Oryctolagus cuniculus: one gene and its partners. The protein of the gene in region 2 purifies or fractionates together with the protein of the main gene of each other region. This does not show direct contact. Links are inferred from orthologs where the notes say so. Each region holds a gene or a part of one and is shown on either strand. Other genes may lie near its edges.

Region 1 (3,500 bases), on a different chromosome or scaffold from region 2:
TGCCATGGCCCAAATGAGGCCCAGATTCAAGTTGGGGCTCTTGGCTTCAGCCTGGTCCACTCTAGCCATCACAGCCATTTGGAGAGTAAACCAGCAGATGAAGATTCTGCCTTTCTGCGACTCTTCACCCCAGTCACACTGCCTCCACTGTACCACCCGCCCACTCTGTGATGGTGGGCAGGCGGCACACTCGCTAGGAACCTTTTCCCTGGCCGCTGATTTCATGCGGCCAGCCAGCGGCGCCAGAGCCGCAACTCCCCGACAGCGCAGCAAGCGTGAGGGGAAACAGCCGAGTTCAGCAGTGCGCTGCGCTGTGGAGCGGACGCCTGGCAGGTGAGTCCTGACTCACTTTTGCCTTGCGATGGGTTAGGACGCAGCTCTATCAAGTCAGGGAGCATCTGGAGCGGACAACTTACTGCGGGGACAGGAATCCTCGTCAGCAGAGTCCGAGTGCTTCTTGCGGTGATGGTTGAATCGGTAGTCAATGCTGTCATGTACCCAGCCCTTCTCAATGAACAATCCTGGAACTTCGTCTGAGAAGAGCCAGTATCTACAAACCACAACCACACGTTAGTCAGGACTGCGGGACGACTGCGCGTGTCACAGAGCCTCACAGACCATTCACAACCACAGACAGGAACGCTCTCTTTGCTCAAAATTCAACAGACACCAACCACAGGGGAAAGCGAAGGATACTACATTTTCTGCAGTCTGAGACTCATATAACGTCTGTAACTTTTATAACATCTAGTATTTCTCTGTCTTTAGGTTCCATGTAATGTATACCTTTAAAATAATCAACAATATTAAAGTGTTGGTCGACACTATATTTGGTCGACATTTCTCTTATTTTATGCGTTTTATTTGAAAGGCAGACAGGGCCGGCACCGCAGCTCAATAGGCTAACCCTCCGCCTGCAGCGCCGGCACACCGGGTTCTAGTCCTGGTCGGGGTGCCGGATTCTGTCCCGGTTGCCCCTCTTCCAGGCCAGCTCTCTGCTGTGGCCAGGGAGTGCAGTGGAAGATGGCCCAAGTGCTTGGGCCCTGCACCCCATGGGAGACCAGGAAAAGTACCTGGCTCCTGCCTTTGGATCGGCGCACTGCGCCGGCCGTGGCAGCCATTGGAGAGTGAACCAACGGCAAAGGAAGACCTTTCTCTCTGTCTCTCTCTCTCACTGTCCGCTCTGTCAAAAAAAATAAAAAATAAATAAATAAGAGAGGCAGACAGACAGGTATCTCCCATTTACTGGTTCATTTCCCAAATGCATATAATGGCCGGACCTGGACCAGGCCAAAGTCACAAGCTGGGAGGTCAACCCAGGTCTCCCACATGGGTGGCAGGTACCCAATCATAGGAGTCGTCACCTACCAACCCAGAGTGAGAATTAGCAAGAAGCTGGGATCTGGAACAGAGACAGGACTTAAAGCCACACACTCCAATGTGGGACACAGTGTCTGCCCCTATATAACGTAAGTTTCAGACCTGTGGTATCTTCAAAGGGTAATTTTGCTACCCTAACATTCAGCAGTTAATATTCAGTAAATGTGTGATAAGCACTTCTGTCTCCAAACAGATCTGGGAAACTCAGCAGGAGCACGACACAGTTTCATGACTAATAACGTAAGACAGAGCAGCTATGCTTAGTAACTGACCTGTTATGGTTTCGATCGGTGCCAATAGGAGTTCTGCGCATGACGAGCTTCGCCTTGGCGATACCTTCCTGGAAAGCCTTTTCGGCAGCTGCTTTGTGCTTCCGTATCCGTTCTTCTTCAGCCTCCCGCTCTAGTTTGACTGTTGAAGACAAAAGAAGACTTATTTTTTCCTAATAACGCCACTCTTACAAATTAAGACATACAGTGAAAAGTGCCAGATCCTTTCTCTCCAAAACTTAACTTCCGGTTAAGACATTTTAAACAACCCTGGTGACATTTCCTAACAGTCGATAAAATGGAACACTTTTAGACAGATATAATCACAGGATCCTCCAAAAGACCATGATGAATAAAACAGTTATTTCAAAAATGAACCATATTTCAGTCCTCAGGAATCAGACAGCTACTCAGCTCAATAGCTTTGATGACAAGAAAAAAGAACTGAGAAAACAAGGGCAAGGAAGCACCTGTGGATCATACTTAATGTACTCGGAATATCACTTTTCTACACTGTTCAGCAAATTACTACTGCTAATAGGAAAACACTTTCATCAGTCACTGCATGGGTTTATTTCACTTCCCTAAACAAAAGCCTGTAATCTTGCCTTCAAACTGTCTCTACAACTGTCACAGACTTTAATACTGCAGAGAGTACTGATTTACAATGCCAGGTGTTTTTTTGTTGTTGTTGTTTTGTTTTTGACAGATAAGAGTTAGACAGAGAAAGACAGAGAGAAAGGTCTTCCTTCTGTTGGTTAACCCCCCAAATGGCCACAACAGCCGGAGCTACACCGATCTGAAACCAGGAGCCAGGTGCTTCCTCCTGGTCTCCCATGCCGGTGCAGGGGCCCAAGTACTTGCGCCATCTTCCACTGCCCTCTCGGGCCATAGCAGAGAGCTGGACTGGAAGAGGCGCAACCGGGACTAGAACCCGGCACCCATATGGGATGCTGGCGCCACAGGCAGAGGATTAACCAAGTGAGCCGCGGCACTGGCCCCAACAATGCCAGGATTTTTAATCCTTAACCCTCTACTGAGGTAACAACTACAATATTATTGAGGATCTGGACAGTGCCATCTGTCTAAAGCTATTACTTTCAAAAATTAAAAAAAAAATACTATTTTAGTATTATATTAATCTCACCTTTAATAAAGTTTGCTAATGATATTGTATGATTGTCAAGAATGAAGGTAAATGATACAAAGAGACTCAGAGTAATGGCCGCTTCTCAATCAAAGAAAAACTCATTTTCCTGGGGCCGGCGCCATGGTGTAGTAGGTTAAATCTCCACCTGTGGCACCAGTAACCCATATGGGCACTGCTTCAAGTCCTAGCCGCTCCACTTCCAATCCAGATCCCTGTTAGTGTGCCTAGAAAACAGCAGAAGCTGGCCCAAGTCTTTGGATCCCTGCACTCTCGTGGGAGACCCAGAAGCAGCTCTTGGCTCCTGGCTTCAGATGAGCCTAGCTCCGGCCATTGTGGCCATCTGGGGAATGAACCAGCAGATGGAAGACCTTTCTGTGTGTCTCTAAAATAAAGAAATAAATAAATCTTTTTAAAAAAAAAAATTGCAAAATTTAGCCCAGTGTCCTCCTCTCACACTGGAGTACCTGGTTCAATACCAGATTCCAGATTCCTGAGACTGCAAATCCTTGGATGCAGTGGTAATGGCTCATATAGCTGGTTCTGCCACCCACTCTGAGATCCCAGGTCCAGACATTTGAGGAGTGAACTAGCAAACGGATACAAGCTCTGTCTCTCTTTCAAATAAATAAAACTTAAAAAAAAAAAAGAAAAGAAAAGAAACTCACAGAACTGAAGGAGACCCAGAATAACCAAAATAATCT
Region 2 (3,116 bases):
TGAGTGCTTAAGACCTTTTTCTGTAATACAGCAAAAAGTTAAGTGTAAGTATGTTCATCTTTGGAAAAAAATTTCATGAGAGAGAAAGGCAGGCAGGCAGACAAAACTCTAGGTAAAACCTAGTTTTAAATGGTCTCATATAGCTCCCATCTGCTGGTTCACTCTCTAAATACCCACAATAGGCTGGACTGGGATGGGCAACCTGGAATTCAGTCCAGATCTCCTGCATGAGTGGCAGGAACCCAACTACTTGAACCAACGCTACTGTTTTCTAGGGTCTGCAATGGTAGGAAGTTAGAGTCAGAGCCCAGGTACTTGATGTGGAACACAGATGTCTGAACTGGCATCTAAACCACCATGCTGAACACCTACCCCTGTTTAGTATTTTTTAACTGAAGTAAAAAGTTTTTGAAGTAGGGGTGAGTGCTCTGGCACAGGTGGTTAATCCACCTCCTGCAGTACAGGCATCCCATAAGGGCTCTGGTTCAAAGCTTAGGTGCTCCTCTTCCCACCCAGTTCTCTGCTGATGTGCCTGGGAGGGCAGCAGAATATGGCCCAGGTCCCTGGGCCCCTGCCAACCACTTTAGAGACTGGAGGAAGCTTCTGGCTGCTGGCTTTGGCTTGGCCCCAGCCATAGTTGTTGTGACTGTTTGGGGAGTGAACCAACGGATGGAAGATCTCTGTTTCTCCTTCTCTTTCTCCCCTGCCAACCCCCCCTCCCTCTTGTAACTTTCAATTTAAAAAAAAAAAAAAATTCAAGTGGATTTTTGTTACAGTATTAAATCGTGTCAGAGATTAAATCAGTTCCTTAGGAAACCAGTCATGTCCACAGTTTAAAAAAAAACTAATATCATTGGTGACTTTGACAAAGTTTATTGGTCCTGTCCTATAACATTATATGTCTTTCAACATGACTATGTATAATATAACTAGTTTTGATATTCATTTTAATTGAGTTCCAAGAAAAGGGAAATGTAATCATTGGTTTCAGCTTCTGAATGTGATGTCTTTTTAATGTTGCAAATAAATTTCTCTATCTGCACTGCAGAATGCTGGATCTGGGTAGTTTTTACATGGCTTTTAGTAAAACAGTATTTTTTTGTACTGATTTAATGTTAAGTTTTGTTTTTATTCCCGGTGTCTAACTTTTAGACAAAGCATCTCCATTTCTAATATCTTTAGGATTCAGGAGAGTTTTAGTTTTAGTTTTTGATGGATTTCCCTTTTATTTTGTATTTCACCACCTTTGAATACTTAACTTCAATTTGTGTTTTGTAGGATGATGTGTGAAAAAGATTCTTTTTTCAGGTTTGATTTATAATAGGATAAAGTTTAAACATTTTGTATTTATAGTAAGATTTCTTAGCATATTTAAAGTATGTTGTCATTCTGTCGACAGTGGATGATGTGCAGTGTTTCCAAAGTGACCACTGAAACATTTTTTTCTTTTTAACTTTATTTAAGTTTTGTAAGTTTCATATATTTCATATATAGATTTATGAACATAGTGATACTTCCCACTGTACCCTCCCTCCTGCCCATACTCCAGTCTTTCTTCCTCCTCCCTCTTCTATTCCCACTCTTAATTTTTACAAAGATCTATTTTCAGTTTACTTAATGATCATAAGGTTAACCCTACACTAAGAGTTCAACAAATATGAAAGGAGCTACTGTTTTGTGTTACTCTAATTAGGGAAATGTATTAAAATAACATGATGCTACTTTGAAGATAAAAGTACTGTGTAAATATTTGACCAAAAGAAAGATTAAGGTGCTGTAAGCTTTATTTTATATCTTTTGAAGTAGGAACAATTTGTAGTTGAATAAGGAATGATTTTTGTAGTGACACATAGTGTCACATTGATTTACCAGCACAATACTGTGATTAAAACAGTGGTTCCTCCCAACATGTTTCCATGTTTCAGGCACACAAAAAATGATTTAATATATATAAATGTGTGTGTATATATATATATATATATATATCTCCTCCCTTGGTGGTAAATTAATGAGCCAAAGTCCTTATTCAATAGGATTTATGCCTCCACACATGTGTGGCATCTTCATGGTATGTTCATCATAATTCACCTGTTAAGGAAAACAGAGCTTTGATGTAGTATATTACCTTCTGTTTTTATATACTATTGCAAATATTTCCAAGTCTTGTATGTCCTACAAAGTATTTTAGGATGATTTTATTGTTGTGCTTGTAATAATATCACTTACTACAAGGGAAAACAATTTTGCTCTGTAAGGAAATGGAGCTGCTAGCCAACTGTGATGCAGATGGACTGCTGTTTCTTTCAGTGTTTACTGCTTCTGCATTACACTTTAAATTCTTTCTGAATCTTATATAGACTGCAAGTTAACAGCTAAGAACTCATTGTAGACCTCTGTTGTTCTTTTTCCAAAATTGAGAAGAGTGTGTGGTATGTCAGCTACTGTAATTCTAGTGATAATGCTTTTATGGAAACAGTTTATACCTCTTAAAGTTTTAGTTGATTCTGACCCTCAAATGTTTGTGCTAGGTAGCTGAATTCTCAGGCAGCCATCAAGCAGTATTACATATGAGATGTTCATTTTCACTGCTTTAATTTCTAAGTGAAGGAGGGATTTATGAAAAATATATACAAGAGAATACCTTACAGAATGAAGTAATAAATAATTTAGTATTTTGCTTTTTATTCTCATATAGGTTGTATATGAAAATCAGTTCCTTTTCTTGTTTTTATCAAAGATATGTGAGTGATTTTATATTACTATGTTGAAACACACTTTTGTTTTAAAATTGGAGGCATGAAAACTTGCATGTGAAAAGTAAAAATTTACCATGTAAATTAATTTTTTTAACTCAGGAACTCCAGAGGAGGTGTAATACCTTGATTACTTTGATTGAAAGAGAAAACATGGAGCTAGAAGAAAAGGAGAAGGCAGAGAAAAAGAAACGAGGACCAAAGCCTTCAGTAAGTATTCGGATATATGTAAAGATTATATAAACTTCATTTTCCTCTAAATACTTCAGTGCTATTCGGTTATCACTGATGTGTTAGTCTTTTTCTCTCCTTAAAATAGTTAATACAATCAATTTTGTACTTTTAAATGAGAATTATCTGGGA
Region 3 (3,500 bases), on a different chromosome or scaffold from region 2:
GAAGAGGGGCAACCGGGACAGAATCCGGCGCCCCAACCGGGACTAGAACCTGGTGTGCCAGCGCCGCAAGGTGGAGGATTAGCCTAGTGAGCTGCGGCGCCGGCCATTAAATTCTGTTTAAGAAAACTGTCATTCAAAATATTTAAGAAAGTATATATTTATATATAAACATTTTATGCAGGAGCATAAACTTACATTTTCATTAAAAAAAATCATTCCCTGGTGTTTATTCAAAATACAGGTGACTTACATATCAAGTAATGAACAAATATGATCAAAATCCTAGAACACACAAATTGTATACACTAAAAATGGGGAAAGGTACAAACCTTGATTGCTCCTAATGTTCCCTGATAGATTCTGTCTTCAATATCCAAAAGAAAGTCTCTCAGTCTCAGTTCAAGTTGCCTTTCTGCAGACATCTGAGATGGATCACATGCACTGGAAGATCTTCCCCGAGTACACAGAGGTTTGCTATCAGCTTGAGGTTTGTCTAAAACAGTAATCAAATACTTCCATTATGATTTTATTAAAACTACAGTCCTATGTGACTGTTATAATTTTGAGATAATGAAAAAAAAGCACTCTGTAAATCCTCAAGTACCAAAAATAAAAAATAAATACTTGCAAATCATGCATCTGTAAAGGACTTTTATCCAGAATGAACTCTTATAATTTAAGAAAGTGACAAATAACCCAGTTTAAAAATGGGCCAAGGAACTGAGTAGACTTTTCTTTAAGGAAGATATACAAATGGCCAATAAGTTCACTTAAATGTATTCAACATCATTAATCAAAACCACAATGAAGTACCACTTCATACCCAGTAGAATATCTGTAATAAAAATCAGGTAAGTGTCAGCAAGGTCACAGAAGAATTGCAGCCTTCATACACTGGGGAGGGAAAATAAAATAGTGCAGCTGTTCTGGGAAACAATCTAGCAGTTTCTCAAAGGATTAACCAGTTTCCAGCAATTCTACTCTTAGGTACGTGTTCAGAATAAATGAAAATCTATGTTGACATAAACACTTAAATGTGAATGTGTATAGTAGCATTATTCATAACAGTCAAAATGTAGAAACAAAATATCTATCAACTAACAAATGGGTAAGTAAAATGTGTTATATACATACAAGGTGATCTATAGAGATAGTTATGGTTGCAAGGGACTGAGGGGAAGTGAGACTGCCAATGGTACAGGGTTATTGTCTTCTTGGGTGATAAAACTGTCCTAAAATGGAATGTAGTAACACTTGCACCTTAGAAGTATTTATTTGAAACACACACACCACTTCCCATCTGTTGGTTCACTCTACAAATGCCCACAACGTCTAGAGCTGGGCCAAGCAGGAGCTGAGAACTCAACTTGGGTCTTCCATGTGGGTGTAAGGGATGCAAATACTTGAGTCATCACTTTCTGTCTCCCAGTGTGCACATTAGTTGAAAGATGGAACTGAAAGCAGAGCTACAATTGAAATCCAGGCACTGATACAGATGTCCCAAGCAGTATTTTAACTGCTACACTGAACATCTACTCCCGAATTCTAACTTTATGTAGGTAATTAGACAGTATGTTAAAGCTATTTTTCAAAAAGAAGGAATTATTTGCTATGGTTTTTAATCCTAGGAAGAACTGAAAAAGTCACAGTAAACTGATTCTAAATATAAGCGGCTCTATACCAAAAGAATCTCATTTAACAATATAAAAAATATCTACTGCTTTCTCTATCCTCATTGGATCAGCCATCAAATAGGAAATGCTGCTGCTACCTGATCTCCCACTGCAACCAATCTCCATAAAAGTGATCATTTATGGAACCTGTCCTGGAACCGTCAGCTAAAATGCTTAGTGAGTAACCTCATTCCTACTATACTATCTCCAAAACTGATGGCAGCCTTAGAGCTTTGGACATTCAGTCTATTGACCAAGGAATGAGAACAGGAAGAATGTGTACAATGAGCAAATGTGTTCCTCATTTTCAAAATAGACCCCAGTGGAATTTGCAGGCCCTAGGAGGCAGTGGCGATGGCTCAAGCAGCTGGATCCCTGCCACTCATGCGGGAGACCTGGACAAGGTTCCCAGCTCCTAGCTTCAGCACTCCCCATCCCCACCTCAAGCACTGTGGGCATCTGGAGAATAAGCCAGTGGATGGGAGCTCTGTCTCACAAAAAAGACAGATTCCTAAATTCTAACTTGCAAATTGAAAGCAGGGTCAAAATGAAGATGAGGTGTTTTAAATAGACTTCTAATCATCACAAAAAATGTTTACTCAATGACTGGTGACTGCAGAAGAAAAAATAAAAGAAATAGTTTTCACTGAAACTATACCTGAAAAATGAAATTTCTCTTCAGAAAAACGGGCTAGCTGTGCACATATTCTGCTTTTCTCTTGCAACAAAGTTTCTTTTAAGGCACTTTCTCTGTGTCCTCTAGAATTAAGGGCTTCAATAAGCTGATCCAGTTGTTCACAAGAACTGTAAAAGCACCACCGATTTGGCTTATGCACTGGTTTTGGCAGCTGCACAGAATCATCACACAGACCTTGGTCAACGTTGGAGGTAGGTTCAGACTTCAAAGACTCTTCGGTTTTGGTGGATACCTGAGGATCCTGAGACTGTACATTACTCTGAAATGATGAAGGTCTAGGCAACAGCATGTCTTCCGTGAGACCAGAATAATCCTCTTCAATAAACAATCCAGGAATGGAAGGGAAAATCCAGTATCGTCTATACATGCGGTCACGGCCCAAGGGAAAGATATTGGTGCATGCTATGGCACTTTGGATTTTTTCTAAAAGCTCTTTCTCTTTTCGTTGGTGTTCTTGTTTTAAAGCTTCTTCCTCATCAGTATTAAGAGGCTCTCCTGTTACACAGTTGATCTCTTCTTGCTTGATAAGTTCTTTAAATCCACTTTGATCTCTTTTCCCTGTAGCTGAAAAAACATTTATCACTGTCATATGTTTGAAATTTTCACTAGAAAAACACGAGATACAAAGTTACCCCAAGTTATTACTGTTAGAGGCTGAACTGTGACCTACCCCTATTCATGCTGCTGAAGCACTGCCAGTGTGATGTCATTTGGAGACAGTGCCTTTAAGGAGAAAATTAAGGTCCAACGAAGTCACAGGGTGCAGCCCTAATCTGCCAGGCCTGGTGTCCTCATAAGAATTGGAGGAGACACCAGAGCACTCACTCTTCGGTATACACAGAGAAAAAGTCATCTGAGGACACAGCAAGAAGATGCTATCTGCAAGCCAGTCAGAGACCTCACCAGACACCAACCCTGCCGGCACCTGATCTTGGACTTCCAGCCTTCAGAACTATGAGAAAACAGATCTCTGTTGTTGGTATGCAGTCTGAGTAGACTAAGACACTATAAGAAACCGATACCCTTCAGTCTAGAGGAACATGCAAAATCTGTTATGTGCACACTGAAGAGCACAGTCTATTAGTTACCTGTAACAGCCACATAGCCCTTCTTTTAAGGTAAGGATCAGC
Region 4 (4,282 bases), on a different chromosome or scaffold from region 2:
TGACAGATTTGGTCCTTCCTCTTTTGAAACCATTATTCTAGTGGTACATTCAGACAAGCTGTGGGCAACTGTAATGAGGTAAAGGTTGAGCCAGAGAGGCACAAGGCATAACCACCATGGAAAGGCACATGAACATATTTGGGGAGAGCAGGTTAGGGGAATCTTCTCGAAGGAAATAAAGTATCATTTCAGACTTTCACTGTGTTGGTTCTAGGGGACAATATTAGCTTCTACTAAGTTAACTTGTTCTGATCTCAGAATTTTCCCAATTTTGGACTTGATAAACACTTGAATCAATACCACATAATCAACCGCACCCAAGCCAAGGTTTCTCCCACCAGGGTTCTTGCACCAACTGTGGTCTTATTAAAACTACAAACAGAAGGGTTGGGAAGGGTGTGGCAGGAGCCATCCTTGACACACCTTTTCTAAATCTCATGGGGATGTGGTCCAGGAAAATTGCTGCTCCGATCATAAATACCGTTGTCAATTTGGAAAAGTGAAAAAAAATAAAAATAATATTTTTGAATGTGACTTTAAACGGCTCCTGCTTCAATACAGGTCTCTCCACTCCCCTCTTTTCTTGACTGGGCATATGGGAGACAGCCTGCATGTGGGCAGCGTGGGAAGGTATTGTACATGACTTAGGAAACAAGTGCTACACTGCGGGCTGTCTTCACTGTTCCCAGCAACGTGGCTGGCTTAGGGTAGGTGCCTGATAAATGCTGATTTATTGAACGCAGGGTCACAGGCATTTGTAATTTCCAAATGTTTGAAAATCCTTTCTCCTAGCGTCCTATCCAGTGTCTAGTTTCGTGGAAAAGCCAGGGTATACGGAGTTTGGAAAAAGACGGAGACCAAACTCCCAACTATCAGCAGCTGCGAGGGCCAATTTAATCTGCTCCCAACTACAAGAAACAGAAATAGTACTTACACCCCGGTATCGGAGGGAAGCTTTACAAAAGTGCAGCATTTATTCTAAGTGGGTATCAATGAAACACTACTCTAAATGCAAACACTTTTAGAACCCTGCCCCACACAAATGAATTTTATAAATGTCCATTCAAACCCAAGCGGTACACTCTTCCTTGAAAGCTTACAATAGGTCAGTGTCCAGAGCACTTAAAAGCCAAAAAAAAACCGAAATATTAGTGAACAGATGAGAAAACCATGCGACCACGTCCTGGGGCCGCGGGCGAAAGCCCCGCAGCTCGAAGGCCCGGAAGGAGAACGTGAGTGGTCTTTCCCCGCCCGGCGCACGGCACGTGGTCGGCTTGGGCGGGAGCTTCGCGACAGTGGGGGAGGGGAACAGCGTGGGACGACACCGAGGGGGTCTAGACAGCCAAGGCTACGGTTGAGCAGGCGCCGACTGCGCAGGCTCGGGATAGGCGCAACCACTGCGCGAAGATCCGAGGGTGGGAACACACACAAGGGTCGTCGTTCTCTTGGTATTGCTGAGGAGGAGCCTGCCTTTTTCATAATTTTAAGGCTTTGAATGGCGCTGTTCCCCGCAAGCTGTTCATCACTATAAGGATTCTCACCCAAGCCTGAACCGGCCTCTTTCTCTGGTCATGCCCCTCCCTCCCCCGTGGAGGACTCAGTGGACGCGTCCCACCTCCCCTCGGCCTCCGGAGGTGGTTTGGCGGCCCCCTCCCCCTCCCCAGTGTCGCGAGTTGGCGCCGCTGCCACCCCCGCTCCGCGCTCTCGGCCCCCTCGGCCGGGCTGTACCGAGCCCTCCGGGGACCCTCCCCCTCCGACCTGCCCTTCCCCGCGGGGCGGCATCCCCCACCATCCCCCTAGCCTTTCTCTCCGCCGAGCCGCGGCGGCAGCTGCAGCCACAGCAGGAGGAGGAGCCGGAGCCCGGAGGCGGCGGTGGCCGGGGAACCCATGGCGTACAGTCAAGGAGGCGGCAAGAAGAAAGTCTGCTACTACTATGATGGTGAGAGGCCGGGTGGGCGGGTAGGGCTGGGTCGCCGGGCCGGGGGCCGCGCCGGGCTCTCTGGCCGCCGTCGCCAGTGGGTGCCGGCTCAGAGGGGTGGGAAGGAGGAGGGACCGACGCTTGGCCGCATCTTAACCCGTTGCGGACCCGACGCGGCCAGCGGGAGACCCTGCACCTCGACCCCCTCCTGCGGACCCTGCGGGCGGGAATGGGGGAACGCCCCGCTTGCTTTCTGCCTCTGTCTTCGGTCGTGCGGCCCGCAGCCCCCAAGGTGGCCGGCTGTGGGGACCACACTGGCCTAGCCCCGCCGGTGGTAGTGGCGAGGGGGTCGGCCCTCCCTGGCACTTCACCCGCCTCTCGTGGCATCGCGGTTTTGGGGGACCCCTTCGCCGGCATCCCGCACCCGATCCTTGCCCCCCTGAGTCAAAATTCCTACCCCGGCTCTGACTACACAAAGCCCAGCGGCCGCAAAGCTCCGCCCCTGCAGCCCCCTCCGGTGCCCCTGCCCCCGCTTGCGCCCCTCTGCTCGCGTCTGGCCCGGGCGCCTTCTCTCTCCGCTGGCAGCCGCACCCCGGACCCCTCGGCCCGGGGCGATGCCGGAGTGGGGGTTACTGGGAGTGGGAACCCGAGTCCGGCGTGCGGCGCCCTCACCCCCGTGTTCTGCGTGGGCTGCATCCCTCTCCTTTGTTCACCCGGCTCTTTGAGCGCCACTTTCTCCGGATTCAAATTGATGGGCTCCACTTCCTCCGTAACAATTAGGGATTTCGAGTTTGAGGCTGGCAGTTGGCGCGGCGAACGAGAGAGGAAAATGAAGAGCTGTGTTCCTGCTTGTGTTGTAGGTCAGACTCGATGGGTCCTGGCTTGCCCGTGTGGGAGGTGGTTACCACCCACTTCTTTGTTGTTGCTCTTTGTTCGATCAGGAAGTAGACCCTGCTTTGGAGGTGTAGGGGACCATGGGCATCTGGCTTGTGAAGGCTGTTCTCAGGTGGTGGGGATCCTGATGTAGAAAAACTGGAGGGAGTAGTGCAGGAGGACTAAGGAGTTTAATCAGGTAAGCTTGAGCTCACGGTATGGTGAATTATAAAAATCAGGTTATTTAATTTTAGGGATTCTGTAATACAGAGTAGCGTCAGTAACATTACAACTCTGGATTCTGCGTTCTGTGCCAGCCTAAGTTACACTAAATGGAACACTAGCTTAAGAGATTTTACAAAGATCTGAACTCTAATAGGTTACCCTTTGGGAGAAAGAGTACTGAAATTTAACAAAGCCAGGCTGAGTGATCTCACAGTCCTAATTGTGGGAAGCAATACGAATACAGATGTGAGAAGCCGTTTCTTATGGATTGTATACTGTAAATCACAACTTTAGAAAGGTAGCTAAGGTCAGTATAAACCTGGCTGTAACAGCAGAACCGTGCCCCTTCATTTAGCAAGGATCCCATTTTTTAAAATGCCAGTTTTATATGAAATAGCCATCTGAGTCATTTGTGGGAAATTATGTATTATGGGAAAAAATTTAAATTGACCCATAATACCTGGGACAAAATAGGAACAGCCTTGTTTTAAAATGTATCCTTTGAAGGACTGCAAATTGATTTGAAATTATACTGGGGCTGTAGAGATGGGAGTACATTTTAACATGAATTTTATTGCATATTTGGGTTGTTGGCAAAACCTTTCCCCCTACCTTCTCTAGTTAAATTGGAAATGTAACAACCTTATTTTTATTTTAAAATATTTATTTGGGAGTTAGAGGGAGCGATAGATAGAGATCTTCTATCCACTGGTTCACTCCCCAGTTGTCCACGATGGGCCAGGTGGAAGCCAGGAGCTTCTTCTGTGTCTCCCACATGGAAAGCAGGGGCCCAAAAGCTTGGGCCATCCTCTTTGCTTTGCCTACGCCATTAGCAGGAAGCTGGATCAGAAGTGGAGCAGCTGGGACACAAACCTGTGCCCATATGGGATGCCAGTGTTGCAGGCTGTAGCTTTACAGCCCGGGGGTTGTTTCCAGAGTTTAGAGATTTGTTTTTTGGCAGGACTTGGAACAAAGGGAAAAAATTTAACAAGTTGCAGAAAGTGGTGCTCAGTGTCTGTCAGTTGTCACTTGCTGTTGGCAGTGATGGGGTCCATGGAATAAAGTGCTCGCAACTTTTTGTCAGCAGGCTTAAACTGTAGGAGCAGGAGGTATGCTTGGGTAGCAGTTTTCTGAGAACTGTTTGTTCCTCAGCCCATTTATGATAAGCCTTTGTTGAGAGTGGGGGCAGACATTGGTCCCAGGGGCAGGATGCAATTGGGTAGAGTGGAAGATGTTTGACAGTCTTGATTTGTGTTAGTCAGTACT
Region 5 (4,182 bases), on a different chromosome or scaffold from region 2:
GAAGCAGCTGGGATTGGAACCAGCACCGGAGGTATCTTAACCTGCTACAACGTTGCCCCCCCCCAACATTTAAAAGCCATGAGATTTCACAGGAAATCCACATTTCCACACGCTCTTGAAAACATCTGAGGAGCTGGTCATGTTAGGCCTGCATTTCAGTAACCATCCCTTTCAAACAAAACATGGCCACTTTTACTTTTTTTTTTTTTTTTTAATATTTATTTTAAAGAGTTAGAGAGAGAGGGAGAAAGAGATCTTCCACCCACTGGTTCACTCCTCAAATGGCTACAACAGCCAGGGCTCCCTCCCATCAGGGACTCCCAGTGGGTGGCAGGACCACCTGCCCATTCCATTTTCTTTCATTACTTACCTGGGCCCAGTGGGTATGTAAATTTGTCACCTTGGGTGCTCAACTGAATCGTACTGAATGCGTTAATTTGGCAATTAGTGCTTCTATATTAATTTTCATTTCGCATGTGTTTCTTCCTCCTAATTGGGTCGAAACAAGCCATTTGGTGGGCAGAATCCTGCTAACTATTATTTCTCGAAATTACTTCTCGGTCGTCACATACTTGAGTAAGTAGCATTACGTGTGTATAACCTCCAGACCAGGCCTTGCCCCGCCGGGATCGAGCGCCCCCGATTTGGGCTGCCTGGGATATCATCACCACGGTCGCTTGCCTGGGCTAAACTGAGACCAGGTGAACTCGTCAGGTAAAGCTATTAAAATCCTCTCGCAATAATAGAAACATACAAGGCGCCGAGGTCGACCGCAGGTGGGCTGCCGCCTTTTCCAAGTTCCGGCCGCGGGGGTCCGGCTCGCAGCGGGACACGGGGGCAGGTGCCCGCGAGACCCCCGGAGGCCTTCCGGGTGTGGACGCCCCGCCAGGGCCCGGCAGCCCGGGGCGTGGCTCGCGACGGGTCCCCCGGGTCCACTTCAGGACTCTCGGGAGTTGCAGGTTTCTGGGGGGCTCGTTCCCGCCGGCGCCGCGCCCTCAGTGGTGACACTCGGGCACTTTCAGCATCACTTTCCCCACGCGGGCGGGAAGGGGGCGGTATGTCGGGGCTCCCCTGCCCTCCTCTCCGCCACCGGGGAAGGGAGGCGCCGGCGGAGGCCCTGCCGAGGCCGGGCGTCGCGCGGGGGGCTCCCGTCCCCCGGGGCCTTCGGCGGGGGGTACTGGGGAGGGGGCTGCATGCCCCTCTCTCCTGAGCGCCGCCGGCGCCCGCGGTCCCGGAGCGCCGGGCCCGGCTCCCCGCCCCCGACTCGGCGCTCCCGCGCTCCCTCTAGCGGCCGCCGCGCGGCCTCGCTCCGTCCCAGGCTCGTCGGCGGCGCAGCTCACGTGACCGCGCTCCGGGCCTGCGGCCGCTGTCGGTTCCCCCAGTCACCGAGCGAGAGGGAAGAAACAAGATGGCGGCTGAAGGCGATCCGGAGTGGGGCCCCAGCAATTCGGACTGAGCCTTCTCCCTCCACCCGCTTCCGCCGGCCGGGCCCCTCCCGCCCGGCCCCGCCGGCCTCCCCACCCGGCCCCGGCGCCCCCCACCGCCCCCACCCCGCGCCCGCCCCTCCCCCCTCCGCTTTCCCTTCTCCCCCCCGCGCCTCGGCTCCGACATGAGGGGCCGGCGGGGCAGGCCGCCCAAGCAGCCCGCGGCTCCCGCTGCGGAGCGCTGCGCCCCGGCCCCGCCGCCGCCGCCGCCGCCGCCGCCCACGTCCGGACCCATCGGGGGGCTCCGCTCGCGGCACCGCGGCAGCAGCCGGGGCAGGTGGGCCGCCGCCCAGGCTGAGGTGGCGCCCAAGACGCGGCTGAGCTCGCCCCGGGGGGGCAGCAGTAGCCGGAGGAAGCCGCCGCCGCCGCCGGCCCCCCCCAGCACCAGCGCCCCGGGCCGGGGGGGGCGAGGAGGCGGGGGCGGCAGGACGGGGGGCGGGGGCGGCGGCGGCCACCTGGCCCGGACCACCCCGGCCCGGAGGGCGGTCAACAAAGTGGTGTACGATGACCACGAGAGCGAGGAGGAGGAGGAGGAGGAGGACATGGTCTCTGAGGAAGAGGAGGAGGAGGAGGAGGACGGCGACGCCGAGGAGACCCAGGATTCGGAGGACGACGAGGAAGATGAGATGGAGGAGGACGACGATGACTCCGATTATCCGGAGGAGATGGAAGACGACGACGACGACGCCAGTTACTGCACGGAGAGCAGCTTCAGGAGCCATAGCACCTACAGCAGCACTCCAGGTACCCACCCAGCCCGGTGGCTGCAGGCTGCTTCCCCGCCGCCTCCCCCTCCCCCTGCTCACTCCCTCTCGAGTGCCGGGCATCCTGCTCCGGCCTCCCCCCACCCGCCTCCCCCCCCCTCGGACGGAGGGGAAATGCGACGGCACAGCAAGTGGCAAAAAAACTAGATTTACAAGAGGAAAGAGGCGCATTGTTCAAAATGGAGATTGCATTGTTGCAGTTTGCAGGCCACACGCTCGCTCGCCCTCTTTCTCTCCCCCCCAGCCCCCTCTTTTTCCTCTTCAGAATTTGTGCCAGTGCAGTGGCTCCACCGGGCAGGATCGAAACTTTGGCACTCGCCTATCCATTGCATTCATTTTTCTCCCCTTGTTTTGGTGTGGTTTTTTTTTTTTTTTTTTTTTGGAATGAAAGAAGCCTCTTGTTTTGCAAAAACCTCTTTGCATTTCTAATGTGGGCTCTTTGAGATTTTTATTATGTATCCCTTCCTTAAAAGGGAATTAAGGATTGGGACAGATTGTGGCACACAAACACGCACAAAACACGCTTCTCTTCGCACGCCTAGCTGGGCGGCTTACAAAATCGCGTGAAAGAGATGGGTCGGTGGACTGAGTCGGGAAGCCTTATCTGGTCCCGTGTTTGTTTTTATGCTTGGAGGGCTAATGGGCCGGTGCAACAGTTGCTAGTCAATTGCTGATTAAAAAGCAGTGCAGAAAAGCGCAGGAAAGCAGCCTTGGAAATGCACCCGATCTCCCAGAGCACCTTGGTGAGTCCACAGCAGAAGTGCAGAGGGGCAGGCAGGGCCGCCGCCGCCAGCCTGGTCCCTGGGCTGCGCTCGGGCTGAGCCGCCTCGCGTCACCTGTTGCGGAGGCCGTGGAGGTAGCTGATCGGGCAGTCGGCCTTGCCGGAGATGAACTTTTGGGATCGCTTCTCAGTTCCGCGGCAGAACGAGCAGATCTGTTACTCATTTTGTCCTTTTCCGTTTTGTTTCTGAAGAAAAAAGCCCTCCCTGGCGCTGGAGTGAAGGCTGCTCCGAGTGTTTTCAGAAAGTTCCTCTAGGAGATGCATTTGGTTAAGCACACTCGCAGCTGCTGCTTTGTGTGAAATCCGTGGTTGTGGCTCACTAAATTGTGAGGGGAAAAAAGAAGTAACTTGTAGCAGCAATCTGCATGACCTTTATATATTGTTAACCTCCATGAACTAAATTACAATTTGGTGTTAAGAACGTTTACAAAGTAAAGTTTATGAGGAAATGAGTTATTTTTAGAGAGACTAGGGTAGTAGAAGCAGTTAGAAGGAAATGTTTTTTTTTTTAAATAAATGCTTACATATGGGGGAAGTGTGGGTACTAACAGGTGGACGCGCACTTAGATTGCCCTGACATTAAATGAAGAAAGGTAGTTCATTTCTTTGGGCTGACAGGACAGCTGCCTGTCTTGCTCCCAAGAACCGAGCGTCCGGCACGCTTGTCTCCTGTGCAGAAGGAGCTAGATGCAAGTTTTGTCATCTCCTGTGGCAGTAGTTGTCACTGAGCAGTCGCAGGTTCATCCCCTGTGTGGAATCATGGAGACTGACTGACTGCCACCACTGCAGGAAGTTTCCCGGTTAGAGCTAAGGCTGGCAGGCAGGCGGCTCCGCTAACTTTCACTCCCATCTGAGGGCCCAGCAAATCATGCTAGGGGGGTTGATGGCTGTGCTGAGTTGAAGTACAGTTTGTGGTGAGGCTTCCTGTTTTTTTTTTTTTTTTTTTTTTTTTTAGTACTTGAATATTTGTGATACTTCCTTGACATTTTGTTTTTCTTAGCGACGCTGGTAGCCTAATTTGTGTATGCTTGTCCCATCCATATATAAAATTAACTCCTTAGTGGTAGGTATTGATGTTATACTCCCTGAGCTCTAAACCAGTGTTTGGCATGTAGCAGGTGCTCATCAAAGATTGATTGGATACGCAATTATT
Region 6 (3,500 bases), on a different chromosome or scaffold from region 2:
AAGTCTGAGAGCAGGTATAATGGCACCTCTTGGAATGCCCACATCTCATGTTGGAGTGTTGGTTTGAACCCTGGCTATTCCATTTCTAATCCAGCTCCCTGCTGATGTACTTAGGAAGTAGCAGATGATGACTTAAATGCTTGGGTTCCTGACTTCTGGGTCCAGCCTTGCCCAGCACCAGCTGCTGTAGCCCTTTGTGTAGTTAACCTGGAAATGGAAATGTAGTTAACATGGAAATGGAAGACTGTGTGTGTGTGTGTGTGTGTGTGTGTGTGTTTCTGCCTTTCAAATAAATAAATATTTTTTAAAAACTTAAAGTTTGAAAGTCATATACATTAATTGATATTTTGTTAGTGTTCTTGTGTGTATATAAATCTGTATATATTTTGTACTGATTATACTTGTATTTATGATATAAATTCCCTAGTTTCTATTACCTGTCTGATACTTATTGAATATTAACTTGAAGCAAAGAACTGTTGTTGCATTGTTGTATCCTGGCTTGACATACTCACTGGTTCCTCCCAGGAGACTCCTGTGCTTACTAGAATAGAAAAACAAAAACGAAAAGAGGAGGAAGAAGAACGTCAAATTCTTCTAGCAGTGCAGAAGAAGGAACAGGAACAGATGTTAAAAGAAGAGAGGAAACGTGAGTTGGAGGAAAAGGTCAAGGCAGTGGAAGGTATGTGGGCATTTGTGCTGTCTGGAGGGGTGCATGTTGTGCAGGAAGAAATCTGCAGCCAGATCCCAGTCAAGCTAGGGTCCTTCATTTACGGATGGTACTGTCGGCAATTCTTATTGAAGTATCTTGTGATTGTGTTCTGTCATGTTTCTTCCAAGCTCAATGAATCTATTTCTGTGGAAGCACTTGCATTTATCATTCTGCGTGTACCTTCTGATCTCTGCTGTGCCTCACACGTGGAGCAAAAAAAAAAAAAAAAAAAAAAGATATTGATGACAACTGATTTCAGATGTAACTTTGAACACAAGTGAGATATGCTTAAGAAAAGTCTCATAGTTTAAAGCACACCATTCCCAGTCTAGAATATTACCATTAGTATTACAAAGATAAACTAGTTTTCTCAGACCTAGGTCCAGGTAGATTTTGGTCTTGGACTTTGGTGTAAGGAGATCTTATCTAACTTTCTTTTTCTTTTTTTCTCTCTCTCCTCTCTTTCTGTTTTTCTTTCTTTTCTAGATTTATTTATTTTTATTATTTGAAAGGCTGAGTTATGGTTGGAGAGACAGAGATCATACATCCACTGGTTCACTCCCCAAATGGCCACAAGGGCTGATCCAAAACCAGGAAGCCAGGAGCTTCTTTAAGGTCTCCTCCATGAGTGTAGGGACCCAAGTACTCGAGCCATTTCCAGGCACACTATCCGGGAGTTGGATTAGAAGTAGAGCATCCAGAACGGGAACCAGTGCCCATGTGGGATGCTTTACCCACTACCCCACACTGTTGGCCCCAGGTTTGACTTTTTTAATACAGTGTTTCAGTGAAAAATTCAGGAAATGGAAATAAAAGACTCTGGCCTTAAATCATTTTTTTCTTTCTATTCCTAAGTTGCACTTCTATTACGTAACCATCTCTTCATTCATTCACAGTTCCTTAGTGCACAGACTGATTTAGCCTGTTATTTTATGTGGAACATGTAAGAGCCTGTCTATGTTCTGTTTTCAGTGTTAGATTTAAATTCCTCAAGGCAATAACTATTGCTTTTATTTCTGTATATGTTTCAAATGAAATTATATCTCTTTTAAAGATTTATTTATTTATTTGAAATGAAGAGTTACAGAGAGGCAGAAAGAGAATCTTCCTTCCGTTGGTTCACTCCCCAGATGGCTGCAATGGCTGGAGCTATGTTGATTGGAAGCTAGGAGCCAGGAGCTTCTTCCTGGTCTCCCATTCTGGTGCAGGTGCCTAAGGACTTGGGCCATCTTCTACTGTTTTCCCAGGCCATAGCAGAGAGCTAGATCAGAAGTGGAGCAGCCAGGACTAGAACCGGCGCCCATATGGAATGCTGGCACTGCAGGCGGCAGCTTAACCTGCTGTGCCGCAGCGCCGGCTACGGCTCTGACTCCTCCGACTAATCATTTTTGAACACTGATTCTGTGCAAGGCTCTGTACTGGGTCTATGGTAAAGAACAAATTAATTTCTTCCTTTCCTGGAGTTTACATTTTAATGGTGCATAAACAAATATTATTGAATTATAGATAACAGTGAGAGGTATAAATAAAGTAGACATACCAATAAGAACAACAAAATTGAAGTGACATTTAGATAACATTTCATGAAAGACTTCTGTGAAGATGTCAATGTCTAAAGGAGGAAGAGTGTTGTATAGGCAGACAGAGTAGCAAATGGAGAGGCTTACTTGTACCGTGGCATTTTGTGTTCATTACAGATCGAGCTAAGAGAAGAAAGCTCAGGGAAGAAAGGGCATGGCTGCTGGCTCAAGGGAAGGAGCTCCCCCCTGAACTTTCCCATCTGGACCCCAACTCGCCCATGAGAGAAGAGAAAAGGACCAAGGACCTGTGAGTATTCAATAACCACAATAACAGCACTAGTACTGCGATACAATCCTCTGTGGAAGGTAATAGTGTCATCCCTTAAGGTTGAGAAAAGAGGAAGTGACAGGTGCAGGCATCACTCACAGCTGACTATAGAGCTCTTTACCACGCATGCACAGACACAAAGCGAGTGGGACCCTTTCCTTTCCCTTTTACATTCTTGCTTCCTGTTCTTCAGAAGCACAAGTGGTATTTATACACAAAGCTCTTATTGTTTCTCCCAATTCTTTAATGAAATTTTACACACTCCCTGTGAAGTTGCCAGGTACTGGTTTTTTGTTGTTGTTTGTTTTTTTTTTTTAAAGATTGATTTATTTATTTGAAAGAGTTAAACAGAGAGAGGATAGGCAGAGAGAGAGAGAGAGAGGTCTTCCATCTCCTGGTTCATTCCCCAACTGGCTGCAGTGGCCAGAGCTGCCCCAGCCTGCAGCCAGGAGCTTCTCCCGGGTCTCCCACGTGGGTGCAGAGGCCCAAGGACTTGGGCCATCTTCTGCTTTCCCAGGCCATAGCAGAGAGATTGGAAGTGGAGCAGCCGGGTCTCGAACCAGTGGCCATATTGGATGCTGGCACTGCAGGTGGCGGCTTTACCCACTATGCCACAGCGCTGGACCCAGCATTGTGTCTTTATGCTTCTTGCTGAAAATCAGGAAACAAATATTGAGTATTCATGAGCTCATTCTATTGTATGCTTTTGTGGGTTTTCAGATCACTAAAATATTCATTATAACTAATGTTAAGTTGTAGATCATCTAGGCCGGCCTCATCATGTTTATAGATGAGGAAAAATATATTCCCACATTTGCATCATTTTCATGTTGTTTTCATGGGTGTTAACCAGTTTGTTAAGAATGTTTGAAATCTTACTGTATCTGAAGAGAATTAGAATTAGTAATAATTTTTCATTTTATGATTTACAGCTTTGAGC
Region 7 (3,991 bases), on a different chromosome or scaffold from region 2:
CCCAAGAAAGGGGGAAAGGGGCCATTTTATTAGCAACTTGTTAGAAAAGTGTCTGGGGAACAGACTGGGCCCCCCTCGAGCCAGGAGCAATGGAGGGAGGGAGAACTTAGCACCTGCTTCCCCCATGTTCCTGTGGCACCTCCCGCACTTTGGGGCGCTGCCATGGCGTCGGGCTCCACTTCCAGGCGGGGGAAGAGAGCCCAGGGATTCGCTGGCATCCCTCTACCTTGCAGACACTCCCACCAGCAGCCCTCTCTCCTCCCAAGCCCGCTGGAACACCACTCAGTAGTCTGAAGACCCTCCTGACACCCAGGCCGCCACTTCTGGAGGTGGGCAGTGGGCAGTGAAGACACCAAGGCTAGCCACAGAGCTGGGGCCCAGCTGGATCAGGGAGGGAGGACTCCCAGTGGAAATGGGCAGTCCTCAAAGACCTCCTTTCCCGGCCATGGCAGAATGGGTCACGCTGACGGACAGGCGCGAGGAAGGCGAGGAAGGAGCCGGCTCTCAACCCTATAACCTCTCCAACCCCTCCCCCCCACAGGTCAAAGCAGAATAGCTCCCCACGACATACTTTGGGGGAATGGTGGCCTCCCCTTCTCCCCTCCAGGTCGGAATGGACCACCTCAGATCCAGCCCGGTTTCCAAACTTCCCAAAGGGCTTCTCCTCGAAGCTGCTAGAAAATGGAGAATTCTGTTTCCTTTGAGGGTGGGGGCTCTCTTTGCATCTGAATACAGAAAGCGGTGCTTCCCTGGCCTTCCCCACCAACTCAACTCCCACAGGCCCCCGGCCCCCACTCCCCCAGCCCCGCGCCCCACTCTCCACCAACAGCCCCTTAAATCCTGAAACACAAGATCCCCGCCCCCCCAGCTCCGGGATTCTGGGGGAGGGGCGTTCCCAGGCTGGACCCGCCAACCCCGGCCCTAGAAGAGGGCCCTTCCCACCTGGGCTCAGTAGGCGGTGCTGAGGTCGGACCCCAAACTCTGGGAGCCCTGGGAGGGGGTGAGGGCCCCAGAGCGGCTTCAGCTAGGACTTAGCTGAACTTGCAGGGCGGCGCGGCGACTGTAATCGCTGCGGCTCCCCCGCCCCTTACTACGGGGAAGGAGAGGCGAGGGGGTGGCGGTTATTCCCCCTCCCATCGGGGTTAGGATGGCGTGGGAAAGCGCTCGTTCCAGAGGGGAGGAGGCGAAGCCCAGCCCGCGGGAGATTTTTTTTTTTTTTTTTTGGGCGAGGAAGGCGCGAGAAAGGGAGCCCCCCCCCCCCACGGCCCAGAATTGGAGGAGTCGCCGGGGAGGACGGCGGAGGGGCGTGAGGAGCCTCCGGATTCCGGGCGGCAGAGGACAGGGGAAAAAAACGGCCGAGTCGATAGTGCGGGGGAGAGAAGAGGAAGGGCAGCTCCCGCAGCGGGAGCGTCCAGTCCTGAATTCTGGGCCAGGCAACCGCGGCAGCGGCCCGCCCGGGGGCTCCGGGTCCGGAGGTGGGTGCCGGGCCTCACCTGGAGCTGAGCCGGGCCGCGGGCGGCGGCGGCGGCGGCGGCGCAGGTGGCCGAGCCGGGCGGCGGCGACGCCTCCTCCCCCAGCCCTGGGCCGGCGGCGGCGGCGGCGCGGGGGAGGTGGCGCTTAAAGGGGCAGGAGCCGCTGGGGTGCGGACGAGCGCTCGGGGAGGGGGCAGCGGGAGGCGTCTCCTAGGGCCAGACCCAGGAAAGGTCCCAGATGGCGGAACAGGACGGATCCCGAGAGGACGCAGAAACTTCTACGGGGAAGTGGGGGGCGGCAGTGGGCCTGAACTTGGGAGCCGGTGCCCGCGCTGCAGGAGCCCAGAGGAGGCCCTGGAGTGCAGGAGAGGGAACTCCAGGCCTGACGTGCGGGGGGTCACGCACGGCGCCCTACTAGGGGAACAGGTTCCCGGCGTCCTAGCTCCTCTGGGGCCGCGTCCCTACAGCTGCGGGGGCTGTGGAATCAGGAAGCCACGAGGGCAGCTGCCTCCTGGGAGCTCAGCCTCCATGCTAGCGCTGCCTAAGGGCCGCCGGCACTGTGGCGTGGAGGCCATCAGCAGAGCTGCAGGGAGGCTGCTGTGGGACCCTGGGGGCGGCTTTACTCTTAATTCAGTATCCCCACCATGGCCACCCTTGCAGCCACCTCGGGCAACAGGAAGCAGCTGCTCAGGGCAGCCCCCACCTGGTGGTGGGTCAGGGTGGGGGAAGAGAGAAGCCAGGGATTTAAAGGCCTGAGACTAAGGCTTAGGGGAGACACCGTGGAGACCCTCCAACACTGCTTGCTCTTGTGGGGGCCAGCAGTGAGTACTCTTTATAGACTGGACTCCCAGCAGCTCAGATGGGGAGGAGCGAGGGGCCATACTCCACGCGGGTGGGGGTGGGGGGCGCCCAGGCCTAAGGTACAGCCTCACTGTTCCTTAAGAGCTCCAGCCTGCCAATGCTCAGGATCCCAGGCGGCAGCCTCACCAGCTGAGCCCTGTACCCCCCCCCCAGTCTCATTTCCCCTCCTTCACCCCCCAAACGAGCAAAGGTTAAGCCCCACCCCTGCTGAGTCAGCCAGGGAGGGAGCTAGGCATCCCTCAGGCCTTCCCCGGGGCTGGTCCCCAGACTCACCCATGTCAGGCTGCCAGGGCTCAAGGCTGGGACCACCCAGCTCCTCGCTGTTGCTGGACCCCCTTCTTGCTGGGAGGCTTGCTGTAGGATCCTCCCAAACTGTGAGCTGGGAACTAGCAAGAACCAAAAGGCCAATGTATGCTTCCTGCGAGCCACACAGCCCGAACTGCTGTAGGGTGATGTCCCTGTGTGACAGACCCGGGTGGGGAGGGAGGAGGGAAGGGCGGGGCTTTCTCTGGGTGGAGAGAGGGAGGAGGCGAGGACAGGGCAGACCAGGAGAAATATGGAGGGAGGTTAGGCTGTGTTGACACTCCAGCGGCGTGCACAGAGAGGGTGCGGTAAAGAGGGAAGGAAATAAGCGGTTGCAGCCGGGTGAGAGGGAGAATGTTCTAGACAAATGCTGGAGGACGCGAAGGGGTGGAGGGATGCAAACAACCTTTAGGTTCCCAGGTCTGCCTCTGGGCGGTGTGGGAAAACAAAGCGGAAAGGGCTGATCCATACCCTGGGGCCTCCCCCCACTATCTTCCCCACTCAGGTCGGGACTTGGAGGAAGTGTCCCAACCCCCATAACTCAGCATTTCCCCCAGTCGAGCTTTTCTGGGAGCAAACTACCGGGCACAAGCAGCTCCGGGGCTCCACCTTCCGTCCAGATCCTGACACAGGGGAGACTGGTGCCAAGGACGTCATAGGCAGATGGGAGGAAGCTCAGAGGCCCCTACTCCACCCCGGGCGCCTCTCCCAAGGCCCCTCCCCAGCCTTCAGCCCCCAGGGGCCTCTGAATTGGGAGCTCAGCTTGTCTCCGCCCAGCTCCTACCCAACTGAAGGTCCCAGGAGGTGGGGCTTGGAGGAACAGGCTCCTCCTCAGGACAAAAGCCCCAGCTGGTTTGTAAACAGTCATTTGCCGAGAATCACATCCCAGCAAATGGCCCTCAGGGATTTCAAAATGGTGAGATCAGAATTCTTGCAGACCGGGTCCCGACTACCACAAGAGGGCAGTAGGACGGGTCTGGGTCCGGAACGGAACACAAGGGGCACCAAGTCTGACCTTGCGTTATTTTGTAAATTGAAATGGTGCTATCTTCCCACTCTACACCTCTTAGTGGGCGAAAATGAATGGGAAATGATTGAACTCCATTTAGTTCAGCAGTGCAAGCCAGCAACCCTGCAAACTGCCACTTCTGTGCAACAGATTCTCTGTCCTGAACTTTCTTAGCAGAGCTCAGACTAGGCCTCATGCTACTTTATACCCTTGCAGAGCCTCAAGGAATCCAACATGCAAGTCCGGGCTTGCCCGAAGTGGGGCACTCTGAAGAAATGAAGGCCTAACCACCCAGCCAAGGTGGAGGGGGCCCTTCTGACTCCATCTTAACAAAAATCAGTTTTCA

Evidence for each region.
Region 1: the proteins of SMARCA5 (region 2) and BAZ1B purify together in Homo sapiens (affinity purification with western blotting; 11 studies listed by BioGRID and IntAct, with this or other methods). This does not show direct contact. The link is inferred for Oryctolagus cuniculus from reciprocal best matches to the Homo sapiens genes SMARCA5 and BAZ1B.
Region 3: the proteins of SMARCA5 (region 2) and BAZ1A purify together in Homo sapiens (affinity purification with western blotting; 8 studies listed by BioGRID and IntAct, with this or other methods). This does not show direct contact. The link is inferred for Oryctolagus cuniculus from reciprocal best matches to the Homo sapiens genes SMARCA5 and BAZ1A.
Region 4: the proteins of SMARCA5 (region 2) and HDAC2 fractionate together in Homo sapiens (co-fractionation; 5 studies listed by BioGRID, with this or other methods). This does not show direct contact. The link is inferred for Oryctolagus cuniculus from reciprocal best matches to the Homo sapiens genes SMARCA5 and HDAC2.
Region 5: the proteins of SMARCA5 (region 2) and BPTF purify together in Homo sapiens (affinity purification with mass spectrometry; 4 studies listed by BioGRID and IntAct, with this or other methods). This does not show direct contact. The link is inferred for Oryctolagus cuniculus from reciprocal best matches to the Homo sapiens genes SMARCA5 and BPTF.
Region 6: the proteins of SMARCA5 (region 2) and CECR2 purify together in Homo sapiens (affinity purification with mass spectrometry; 3 studies listed by BioGRID and IntAct, with this or other methods). This does not show direct contact. The link is inferred for Oryctolagus cuniculus from reciprocal best matches to the Homo sapiens genes SMARCA5 and CECR2.
Region 7: the proteins of SMARCA5 (region 2) and BAZ2A purify together in Homo sapiens (affinity purification with western blotting; 3 studies listed by BioGRID and IntAct, with this or other methods). This does not show direct contact. The link is inferred for Oryctolagus cuniculus from reciprocal best matches to the Homo sapiens genes SMARCA5 and BAZ2A.

What each region holds. Positions count from the first base shown.
Region 1 is NC_091450.1:50,548,075-50,551,574, reverse strand, and holds part of BAZ1B (tyrosine-protein kinase BAZ1B), read right to left. Parts: intron 1,792-3,500; coding exon 1,653-1,791; intron 551-1,652; coding exon 417-550; intron 1-416. UniProt on the Homo sapiens protein: Atypical tyrosine-protein kinase that plays a central role in chromatin remodeling and acts as a transcription regulator. Involved in DNA damage response by phosphorylating 'Tyr-142' of histone H2AX (H2AXY142ph).
Region 2 is NC_091439.1:20,991,710-20,994,825, reverse strand, and holds part of SMARCA5 (SWI/SNF-related matrix-associated actin-dependent regulator of chromatin subfamily A member 5), read left to right. Parts: intron 1-2,855; coding exon 2,856-2,963; intron 2,964-3,116. UniProt on the Homo sapiens protein: ATPase that possesses intrinsic ATP-dependent nucleosome-remodeling activity.
Region 3 is NC_091443.1:40,734,629-40,738,128, reverse strand, and holds part of BAZ1A (bromodomain adjacent to zinc finger domain protein 1A), read right to left. Parts: intron 3,094-3,500; coding exon 3,041-3,093; intron 2,935-3,040; coding exon 2,332-2,934; intron 494-2,331; coding exon 330-493; intron 1-329. UniProt on the Homo sapiens protein: Regulatory subunit of the ATP-dependent ACF-1 and ACF-5 ISWI chromatin remodeling complexes, which form ordered nucleosome arrays on chromatin and slide edge- and center-positioned histone octamers away from their original location on the DNA template to facilitate access to DNA during DNA-templated processes such as DNA replication, transcription, and repair.
Region 4 is NC_091436.1:57,413,417-57,417,698, forward strand, and holds the start of HDAC2 (histone deacetylase 2), read left to right. Parts: upstream 1-1,482; 5' UTR 1,483-1,887; coding exon 1,888-1,939; intron 1,940-2,847; exon of another isoform or gene 2,848-2,990; intron 2,991-4,282. UniProt on the Homo sapiens protein: Histone deacetylase that catalyzes the deacetylation of lysine residues on the N-terminal part of the core histones (H2A, H2B, H3 and H4).
Region 5 is NC_091448.1:13,813,639-13,817,820, forward strand, and holds the start of BPTF (nucleosome-remodeling factor subunit BPTF), read left to right. Parts: upstream 1-1,382; 5' UTR 1,383-1,609; coding exon 1,610-2,228; intron 2,229-4,182. UniProt on the Homo sapiens protein: Regulatory subunit of the ATP-dependent NURF-1 and NURF-5 ISWI chromatin remodeling complexes, which form ordered nucleosome arrays on chromatin and facilitate access to DNA during DNA-templated processes such as DNA replication, transcription, and repair.
Region 6 is NC_091440.1:97,388,311-97,391,810, reverse strand, and holds part of CECR2 (chromatin remodeling regulator CECR2), read left to right. Parts: intron 1-528; coding exon 529-682; intron 683-2,409; coding exon 2,410-2,539; intron 2,540-3,492; coding exon 3,493-3,500. UniProt on the Homo sapiens protein: Regulatory subunit of the ATP-dependent CERF-1 and CERF-5 ISWI chromatin remodeling complexes, which form ordered nucleosome arrays on chromatin and facilitate access to DNA during DNA-templated processes such as DNA replication, transcription, and repair.
Region 7 is NC_091442.1:59,379,538-59,383,528, forward strand, and holds the start of BAZ2A (bromodomain adjacent to zinc finger domain protein 2A), read right to left. Parts: upstream 2,801-3,991; 5' UTR 2,611-2,800; coding exon 2,607-2,610; intron 1,609-2,606; exon of another isoform or gene 1,494-1,608; intron 1,193-1,493; exon of another isoform or gene 943-1,192; intron 596-942; exon of another isoform or gene 572-595; intron 1-571. UniProt on the Homo sapiens protein: Regulatory subunit of the ATP-dependent NoRC-1 and NoRC-5 ISWI chromatin remodeling complexes, which form ordered nucleosome arrays on chromatin and facilitate access to DNA during DNA-templated processes such as DNA replication, transcription, and repair.